Nothobranchius furzeri: one gene and its partner. The protein of the gene in region 1 purifies or fractionates together with the protein of each later gene. This does not show direct contact. Links are inferred from orthologs where the notes say so. Each region holds a gene or a part of one and is shown on either strand. Other genes may lie near its edges.

Region 1 (4,371 bases):
TAGTTAAACCTTCTTCATTAGAAATGAATGCATTGGGGGTGCGTCTACTACATATGTCTGTGATGAGACCACCCACAGAGGGTGAGATGGGAATTGTTTCTTTTTTTATTATTGTTTCTTTCTACAAATAAAACACATCACACATTTTATTATTTTTGTGGATGACTGAAATAAAATGTAGTAAAATTAACTTTCATACTTTTTTCAATCAGTATGTGAAGTATTTTACTGGATCGTTTAATGCAAGCCCTGCGCAACCCTCGTTGTGTCTAAAACTAATAATGCCCCACTGCTGTCCAAACGTGTAAATTGTTCACCCTGTGTAATTATCAGTGTCTTTTACATGCCAGTTGCACAAATCTTCTTTACTGTTTATCTGAAGTATCATGAGTTCTGGACCTTTTTACACAGTCTTTATATTAATTGTTTTGTGTCTGCAGTAGTGATGTGTCGGTCGCGAACGAACCGGCTCTAAGAGCCGGCTCTTTGAAGTGAACGACGGGAGCCGGCTCATCATTGGGAGCCATCCCCTCCCCTCCCCCCTCCCTTTTGCTTTGGTGAAAGCCACAGGCGATTGATTGGTCAACATGTGTAACTGCGTGTCCAGACTGTCCACACACAGAACAGTAGGGGCGGGGAAGAGGGAGGATCAGACTCAGACACACAGCAGAGCAAGTGCGGGCGGAGGGAGACGAGAGGGAATGAGGAGGAGGAAAAGAGCAAGAGAGAGAGAGAGGAGAGTGTGACGAAGACGGTGAGAAAATGAGCGCTAGCACTCGGAAAGTGGAGATTTCTGAAAGTGTTCAGTTATTAAATCCATAGAAATGATAAATATTTGATATATAGCATTTTTTTACATTAGTAAATCATTTTACGTATAGTTTTGCATTATTTTGGTTATAAATGCACTCTAGGCAACAGAAAATCTGAGGAGCCACTTGGGAGCCGAAAGAGCCGGCTCTTTTTGGTGAGCCGAGCCAAAAGAACCGGCTCTCTAAAAAGAGCCGGAATTCCCATCACTAGTCTGCAGTCCTGATGAAAAGACGATCTTAAAGCAGCTACGGTTGTTTGGGTCTGATACCTCTTGTCCGCCTCAGGTTAAAAGCAGACGCATTTAGAAAAACTTTAATCGCGCCAAGAGGAAAATGTAAAGACAACATGGGCGCTCTAATCTTTGTGCAGGTGTCCAGACCAATCATTTCCCCAAAAGGTCATACTAACAGCGGATTGGACGGCGGCGTTCCTCCAACATGCGCGTGCGGGGGAGGAGCTGGAGGAGGAGAGCGGTCGTAAAGGGAAACGCCCACTTTTTGGAAGCGGAAGATGGAGATCTGCGTCGTCTTGCGGTAGCTCCGTTTGCACATCTGCATGATGGAAAGTGATGAAGTCCGGCGGAGGTTGTGAGGCGGCTCTTCCCGCTGATATGTGAGGCTGCGGCGGATTAAAGCAGGAAGCTTCGAGCCTACGTGTGTGGATTATCGGACGATGGCGAACAGCTAAAGGTGGAGCTAACGGTGTCTTAGCTAGCTAGCTGGTAGGATCTCACAAACTTTATATAATCAGTCCAGCAGTTTTTATCGCTTTGAAAATAACTTTAGGTTGGAAAATGTTAAATGTTTAACTACAGGTTTGCGCACAGTAAATAATTTATTATTAATAATAATAATGGGCTTTGTTATTGTGTACTGAATGAGTTTTCTGTCCCTTTAAGAGTCCCCACCTGTCTCCAGGTGCCTCCACCTTGTCTCTGCTGCCATGGAGGCGGGCGGCCTCCCCGTGGAGCTGTGGAGGCTCATCTTGGCCTACCTCCCTGTCCCTGACCTGGGCCGCTGCTGCCAGGTGTGCCGCGCCTGGCGGGAGCTCATCTTCTCCCTGGATAACACCCGCTGGAGGCAGCTGTGTCTGGGCTGTCCCGAGTGTCGCCATCCCAACTGGCCCAGCCAGCCCCACCTGGAGCCACTGTCCTGGAGAGAGGCCCTGAAGCAGCACACCCTCGCCACCCGCACCTGGACACGTAATGGCCAAGAGCTCCAGTCCTCCGCCTGCCTCCTGTTTTTCCGGAGGAGGAAAGACCGCAGGGTTTGGCACGTGGGGCCCGGACGGGAGTTTGAGACCCTGCGTGGAGCTCTTGGGGTGGCGGCGCCATACGACCGTGTGGTTCTCCATCCAGGAGTGTACGAGGAACAGGCCGAGGTGGTTCTGAAAGTGCCAGTGGAGCTGATTGGTCTGGGCCAGCTGGGTGAGGTGGCCCTCCTGGTCTGCATGGAGCAACAGTGTCCTACAGCCAGGCTGTGTAACTTGGTGTTCATGCCTCCCTGGTTCTCCACGGTTGTCTACAAGGTGATAGAACAGCTTTCCAACATCAACAAATGTCTTAACCCAATCAAGAATTTGTCTTACTTGTGTCCTTTCTCTCCTCTAGACATCATGGGGTCATGTCCAACTAGACAACTGCAACTTTGAAGGAGCCCAGCTTCAAATCCGTGGCCCGGGGACCTGCCAGGCTCGATTTTGCTCCTTCTCCCAGGGAAGCTCTGCCCACTTGCTGAGTGTCGTCGTCAGTCTGTTGGACAGCTGTGACTTTTCAGGAAGTGACACAGCTTCAGTGACTGTGGAGGGCCCCCCAGTGTCCGAAAGAAACTGGGCTTGTAAACATTTGACTTCCCTGGCCAGGACATTCCCATCTAAGTTCAGCAGCTCCCCCAGCTGCCCTCAGGGCAGCTCCACTCCTGAGCCTAATCCTCCAGGGGGGGTTGCAAAGGAGTATGTGAGCATGGAGGACTGGAAAAGAAGGACAAGTGGAGAAGCAGTTTGTCAGGGCACCGTCATCGGAGACGGCTGGAGTGATGGTGAGCACAGCGAGGGGGAGGAGGAGAAAAACACAAGAAAACTCTTTACACTGGATTGCAAAATCCCATGTGAAAATCACAGCCTGTCCCATCTGCTGAAGCCTCGAGCGGACGGCTCTCTGCCACTTGCCTCCTCCTCTGACCCTCCGTCTGCGGCCCCTGACCCCCTCACCCTTCAGCAGGAATTAGACAGGGACCCGGAGGCTCAGATCCTAGCCTCATCCATCCTTGGCTGCATTTTGAGACGCTGCCTCTTCAGAAATGGGAAGGGAGGTGTACATTTGTCCAATTATGCACAAGCTCGTCTGGAGGACAACGTGTTCCGTGGGCTGAACTACGCTGTCCGCTGCATCCAAAACTCTACAGTAAACCCAACCTAAATAATATTTGTTCATGATAAATCTGTCAAACGCACCGTTACATCTTTAGAGATTTCATTTCCTTTAACGTACAAACTTAAGGAGCTTGCTGGAGTCATTAGTAATTCAGCAGCAGTGTCACTGGAGCTTCCTCTTTCCCTGCTTCTCCAGATTGTGATGCTGAGAAATGAGGTGTGCGAGTGTCGCGCGTCAGGTGTGTTTCTGCGCCTGTCGGCTCAGGGCCTCATCGCGGAAAACAACATCCACTCTAACGGGGAAGCCGGGCTGGATATCCGAAAAGGGGCCAACCCCATTATTCTGGTAGAAACAGCTTTAAATGTATTGTCTGTGTTCCTGTGTTCTCCGTTATTTCCTCTTTTGTTCTGCAGTGCAATAGGATACACAGCGGTCTGCGTTCTGGGGTTGTTGTCCTTGGCAACGGGAAAGGCTCAATTCGGAGCAACCTGATCTATAACAACAAGGAAGCCGGCGTGTATGTTCTCTTCAGCGGGAATCCTGTGGTGAGGTGAGCTGGACTCCAGAAACAGGATCACGTCTATCCCACACTTCCCATCATCTGGACATCACTCAGTGTTTCTGTATCTTCTAGAAATGTAATCAGAAGCTGTTGTTAAAAACCAACAAACATTTCTTTACAGATGATACGCTGACATGTCCGTAGAGCGACACTCATTAATAACGCTTCCTTTGGCTCTGGTCCGATTGCAGCTGTTCTACCGTCATTATTACGTGATTTACACCTGAAAATCTTTCATATTTACTGTATAAAGCTAAAATATGATAACGGAGTCTAGTTGCATCATAGAAATCATTTATCAACAATTTATTGATATCGTGCCAGCCTCAGTCACATCTGTAGTTCAGTTGTAGCTCTAAACGATCTCAATGCAGATGGCAAAAATAATCCTAAAACACTTAGATGAAGGCTGCATGGTGGCACAGTTGGTAGCTCTGCTGCCTTGCAGCGAGAAGGTCGCAGGTTCAAATCCCAGTGTGTGAAACAACCTGCAGTTGGTGAAGCAGCAAATGTGGCATAAACCATCTTACATAACATCTCTGAGGAAAAACTGGGGGTGGATGTGTTTATGCATCAAATAAAAAAAAACTCACGTGTTTCTGCAACGTTTAAGTCTGAACCGTTT
Region 2 (4,301 bases), on another chromosome or scaffold:
CAAACAAGACAAGCATCGTCTTGTACTGTGAGCGTGACGTTTGTATTTGACTGATTTCACCTAAACACACGAGAGAAATACACACTGTTCTCCGGCTGCGCTCCCAGGTCTCGTACCGCCTGCATGCTGTGGAGGGACAGTCCTGCTGGGTATCCTTCGGTGGTCACTTTCTTCTGGTCCACGTAGATCACGTGCTTCAGCTTGGTGATCTGTGGCAGCACGTGCTGGACAGGAAACACAAACACCTTTTATTAATTTTGATTTACTGATTTCCTCTCAATAATCTGAAACCGGACAAACCGAAGACACCGGTCTCTCTAAAGTATTCTCTTCTTGGTATTTCCTCACAACAATGATCTAAGCAACGCAATGACACACTCCACTAGAACAAACCAGTTAGTTGGTTTTAAACTTGTGCTTTTAGGAGATAAGCTCACTTTCAGTTTGGTCTCCAGCAGCTCTGCGCTGGTAACTACATGAGTCACCCCGGTCTCGTTCAGCCCATACGCGATGGCCTCCTCTCCCAGTGTGGCATAGAAAGTCACCACTGATTCAACAGAAAGAAAAAACAAACCCTGAGTGAGAACATCGATAAGCCTGAATGAACACATAATCTGACTGTTTCTTACTTACACGGAAAGTTTTGCCTGAAGCACGCCTGAGCTGTGATCATCCACTCCGCTCTGGTCTCACAGAAGATCGCGATGGTGCTTTTGGGCTGCTGCCCCAGAGCTGCTAACCCACTGCCAAACTCACTCACTATAGAGTCCACTTCATCATAGGACAGCCACTTGTACTCTCCCATGATCAGCTACAACGAGTAAACAGTCAAACACCACAATCGGCCATTAGCTAGATTAATTAAATATAACGAGCAGCCCTACCTTTTTAAAAACTTTGCCGTTGGGCTGAATATCGTTCTCCTCACTCAGAATCTCTCTGGTACCAAGACAGTGAGCGTCTCTGAACCGCTGCACAGCATGCTTGAAGAGCTTATCCAGGGTGTTGATGCCTGGGAAGTCTTCTGTGGCCAGGGAGTCAAAGTGATCCACGGAGCGGTACGGACCATCTGGAAAACCTGACGTAGAACAAGCTTTTGTTCGCTTGGACTGAGATTTCTTTTGGCCGGCTTGAGTGATGAAGTACCAGGGTAGGAAGGAGATCGTTGAGTACAGCCATATCAGCAGGTAGACTGGAAACAGGAGGATCAGCTGGAGGGTAGAGACTGCCTGGGCAACCATACTGGTCTCCGGGAGAGTATTCACCAGTTTCTGCTGGGTGTTTATAAGTAATTCTGGGGTAGTCTGGAACTAAAAGGCCCAGCAGCACACAGATTTTCTGTGGGGGTCTCCTAGTACAGCCTCCCAGCTGAGTTAGCTAAAGTTGAGATAAAAACAAAAAAGGATTACAAGTTAAAAGTCACCCAAAAGAAAACAACTGTATCAAAGAGGAAGCAGGATAGTTCATCTGGTGCCAAGCGTCTTATGAAAAAACAGAACAGTTAAAAAAGGCGGGTTTGTAAAACAAAGAAGTGAGATAAACATTTATGAAGGATCCCTTAATAACCTGTTACATGCGGTTTCAGACCAGACTCACCTCCCGCTTGCCCCGCTTTGATAAATCAATCAGCATGCAGAGCTTGATTAAATCAAAAGCCTTGAAAGGGAAATGGATTAATCAGGCCCCGCCCCTTTGTTTAAACACCTGTCTTTATCCTCCAACAATGAGCAGGTTATCTAAAAGGTCAGTGTGGAGACATTCCCCCCTCAGACCAGACTGGCCACTGTCCAATGACCACAGGACAGTGAATGGACAGAGCCACAGACGACCAATGACAGTACTCTTAAGGCTCACTCCACTCAGTGGCCAGGGAGGGTCACGTTAGGGCAAGCCCGGCTCCTCTCGGCGGAAAGGACGGAGTTAACCAGTCCAAACTGGGTTTTACTTTAGTGGCGGAGTAGAAAACATCAATCAGGGGAAAGTATGAAAATGGCGGCATCACTATGAGTCATTTGAGTTAATCACACTTTAGGTGCACGTCAATGACCCGTTTATACTATCAGAAGGAAATAAATAAGGAAAAGATGAATAATGGTGTGATGTTTGAGCACAAGCATTTTTCCCATTCCCCTTACAAAAAGATATTTCATAGGATCTTGTGCAACAGCAGGACGTGCCCACTTCTAAATAATGACGCACATGTTGAAATCTACTGACTTCAGGGAAAATAGTCATTCTTACAACCGGTCCACCCTGACAGACACCAGATCAAATATCAAAGAAATTCGTAGGAAATGTGCGGCTACATCAGACTCACATAAATCACATTGTACCGGGCCAAGAGGCGCACGTGCTGGATCTATTTTCATGGCAGCGCCACGTTTTTTGGCGCATTTGGCCACACATCACGTCTAAATTTTGTATTTTATATCAATATAAAACATCGTACTATCTCCGCTTTACGTTTCCCGTTCTTGAAATAGTCATTAAACGTTCTGGAAATAAAACCCACGAATCTTGATGAAGCTCTGACCGTTAAAGTAGCGCGAGCCGTAAAGGCTAAACAATGGGCGAGCAGTGGAGCGGAACACGCATAGAAAAGCCGCCTCTTGTTGCCACTGATGCTGATAAAGCAACAGAGGAAGTTATCACCCAGCGAAGATGTTCGCTGTGGCCCAAACAAACCACCAACACGTCATTCAACAAACGGATAGAAACAGTAATGAGATTACGGTTTCAGCGCGCGAGTGATACTCTGCTTAACTCGTAGGCTTGTCATATTCTTACCGTGAGCGGCAGAAAACGCTGCCTGTCGTAGCATTGGTCTCGGGACAAATGACCGAGAGTTACCTTTTCTGTGGGGTCTAGAGACCCGGAACTTTACGTCATCTGATTCCATATTTTTCAACCAATCAGAAACCGAGCTGGTCCTTGCCCTCGGTTTTTCTGTTACGTCCGCAAGATGAGAAACAGAACAGGAAGACTGTATTTTGTTTTTTCCGCAAGCACAGAAAGGAAGATGTATACCTTGTTATAAATTTGTTAATTATTCTAGCTAAATTCTATCTCCACAAATGCAAGTATAGTAACCAAAAACCTAATTTCAAGCACTATAATAGTGACACTCTATCTTACATAAAATTGATTAGTGGATCACTAAACAAAAAAACTTTAAAAACTATAACTATTTGCACCACCTATAATTTATTTGGATGTGTGTAACATTTCTGTAGTGCACTGCACCCCCTGGCATATGTTTCATCTTCTTTGTTCAATTTTATATGCAATTTGTTTTCTATACTTATCACCTTGTTCAATAAAGTTTTGGGAAAAAAAGACTGTGTGGACATTTCCACGTTGTAGGGACATTTTGCTGGTCCACACAATGCTAAGGATCGTTATATTTGGTTTTAGAGGTATGTTGAGAATACACTTTCAGTGTATATTAGTTTAGGTTAGGGCTAGGAAAAAGAAAAAAAATTATATTTTATATAGCACCTCTCAAGATAAAGAAATCACGAGGCGCTTCACAAAAACAAAAAAGTATTTTTCAAAAATGATTTGATTTAATTTTTAAAATGACAAAAAAATAAAAAATGGGATTAAACATGCAAGGAAAGGGAGAGAGAAAATGAATAGGTAAAAGGAAAATCGGTGGGAAAGGCGGAAAAGGTAGAAAGAGCAGAATAAGAAAGAAAGAAAGAAAGAAAACAATCTTTTATATAGCGCCTCTCAATATAAAAATCACGAGGCGCTTCACATAAACAAAATTAAATGTGATGGGACAGACAGCTCTTGTCTCAAGGGGAGAGAGTTCCAGAGTCTCAGGGCCACAGCAGCAAATGATCTGTTGTCATCTTTGGTTTTTAGCCTGGTGCTCTGCACAACCGATGGGCGTTGGTCACTGGAAGAAGAACCCTATTGGTTAGGGTTAATAGTGGAGTCACTAAATGAATGGAAGTCAATGGAGGTTCACACAAGCATATACGTGTGTGTGTGTGTGTGTGTGTGTGTGTGTGTGTGTCACCATAAAGCAGTTGAAGAAAACATTATTTTTAATTAAAATAACAAATAAAAATATGAGATTTAATGGAAAATGTCTAGTTTAGCAACAGAAGTGGAAATTGATTTTGAGATTTTTTTTTTCACCAGGTCCGCCAACTCACAGAGATCCTCGCATTTGGTTATAAGAGTTGCAACGTCCTACTGTACCATTGACATATATACATATAGTTTTTTGGATGCTTTATATGATTCCAACCAGACATGGAGACAGAGGTGAAAGCATCACCGTACACACT

Evidence for each region.
Region 2: the proteins of fbxo10 (region 1) and acsl4a purify together in Homo sapiens (affinity purification with western blotting; 3 studies listed by BioGRID, with this or other methods). This does not show direct contact. The link is inferred for Nothobranchius furzeri from reciprocal best matches to the Homo sapiens genes FBXO10 and ACSL4.

Annotation. Positions count from the first base shown.
Region 1 is NC_091747.1:78,697,420-78,701,790, forward strand, and holds the start of fbxo10 (F-box only protein 10), read left to right. Parts: upstream 1-1,316; 5' UTR 1,317-1,502; exon of another isoform or gene 1,503-1,534; intron 1,535-1,711; 5' UTR 1,712-1,755; coding exon 1,756-2,340; intron 2,341-2,422; coding exon 2,423-3,214; intron 3,215-3,379; coding exon 3,380-3,529; intron 3,530-3,597; coding exon 3,598-3,734; intron 3,735-4,371. UniProt on the Homo sapiens protein: Substrate-recognition component of the SCF (SKP1-CUL1-F-box protein)-type E3 ubiquitin ligase complex. Mediates the ubiquitination and degradation of BCL2, an antiapoptotic protein, thereby playing a role in apoptosis by controlling the stability of BCL2.
Region 2 is NC_091741.1:25,484,374-25,488,674, reverse strand, and holds the start of acsl4a (long-chain-fatty-acid--CoA ligase 4), read right to left. Parts: upstream 2,926-4,301; 5' UTR 2,788-2,925; intron 1,378-2,787; 5' UTR 1,242-1,377; coding exon 885-1,241; intron 812-884; coding exon 634-811; intron 548-633; coding exon 438-547; intron 225-437; coding exon 86-224; intron 1-85. UniProt on the Homo sapiens protein: Catalyzes the conversion of long-chain fatty acids to their active form acyl-CoA for both synthesis of cellular lipids, and degradation via beta-oxidation. Preferentially activates arachidonate and eicosapentaenoate as substrates.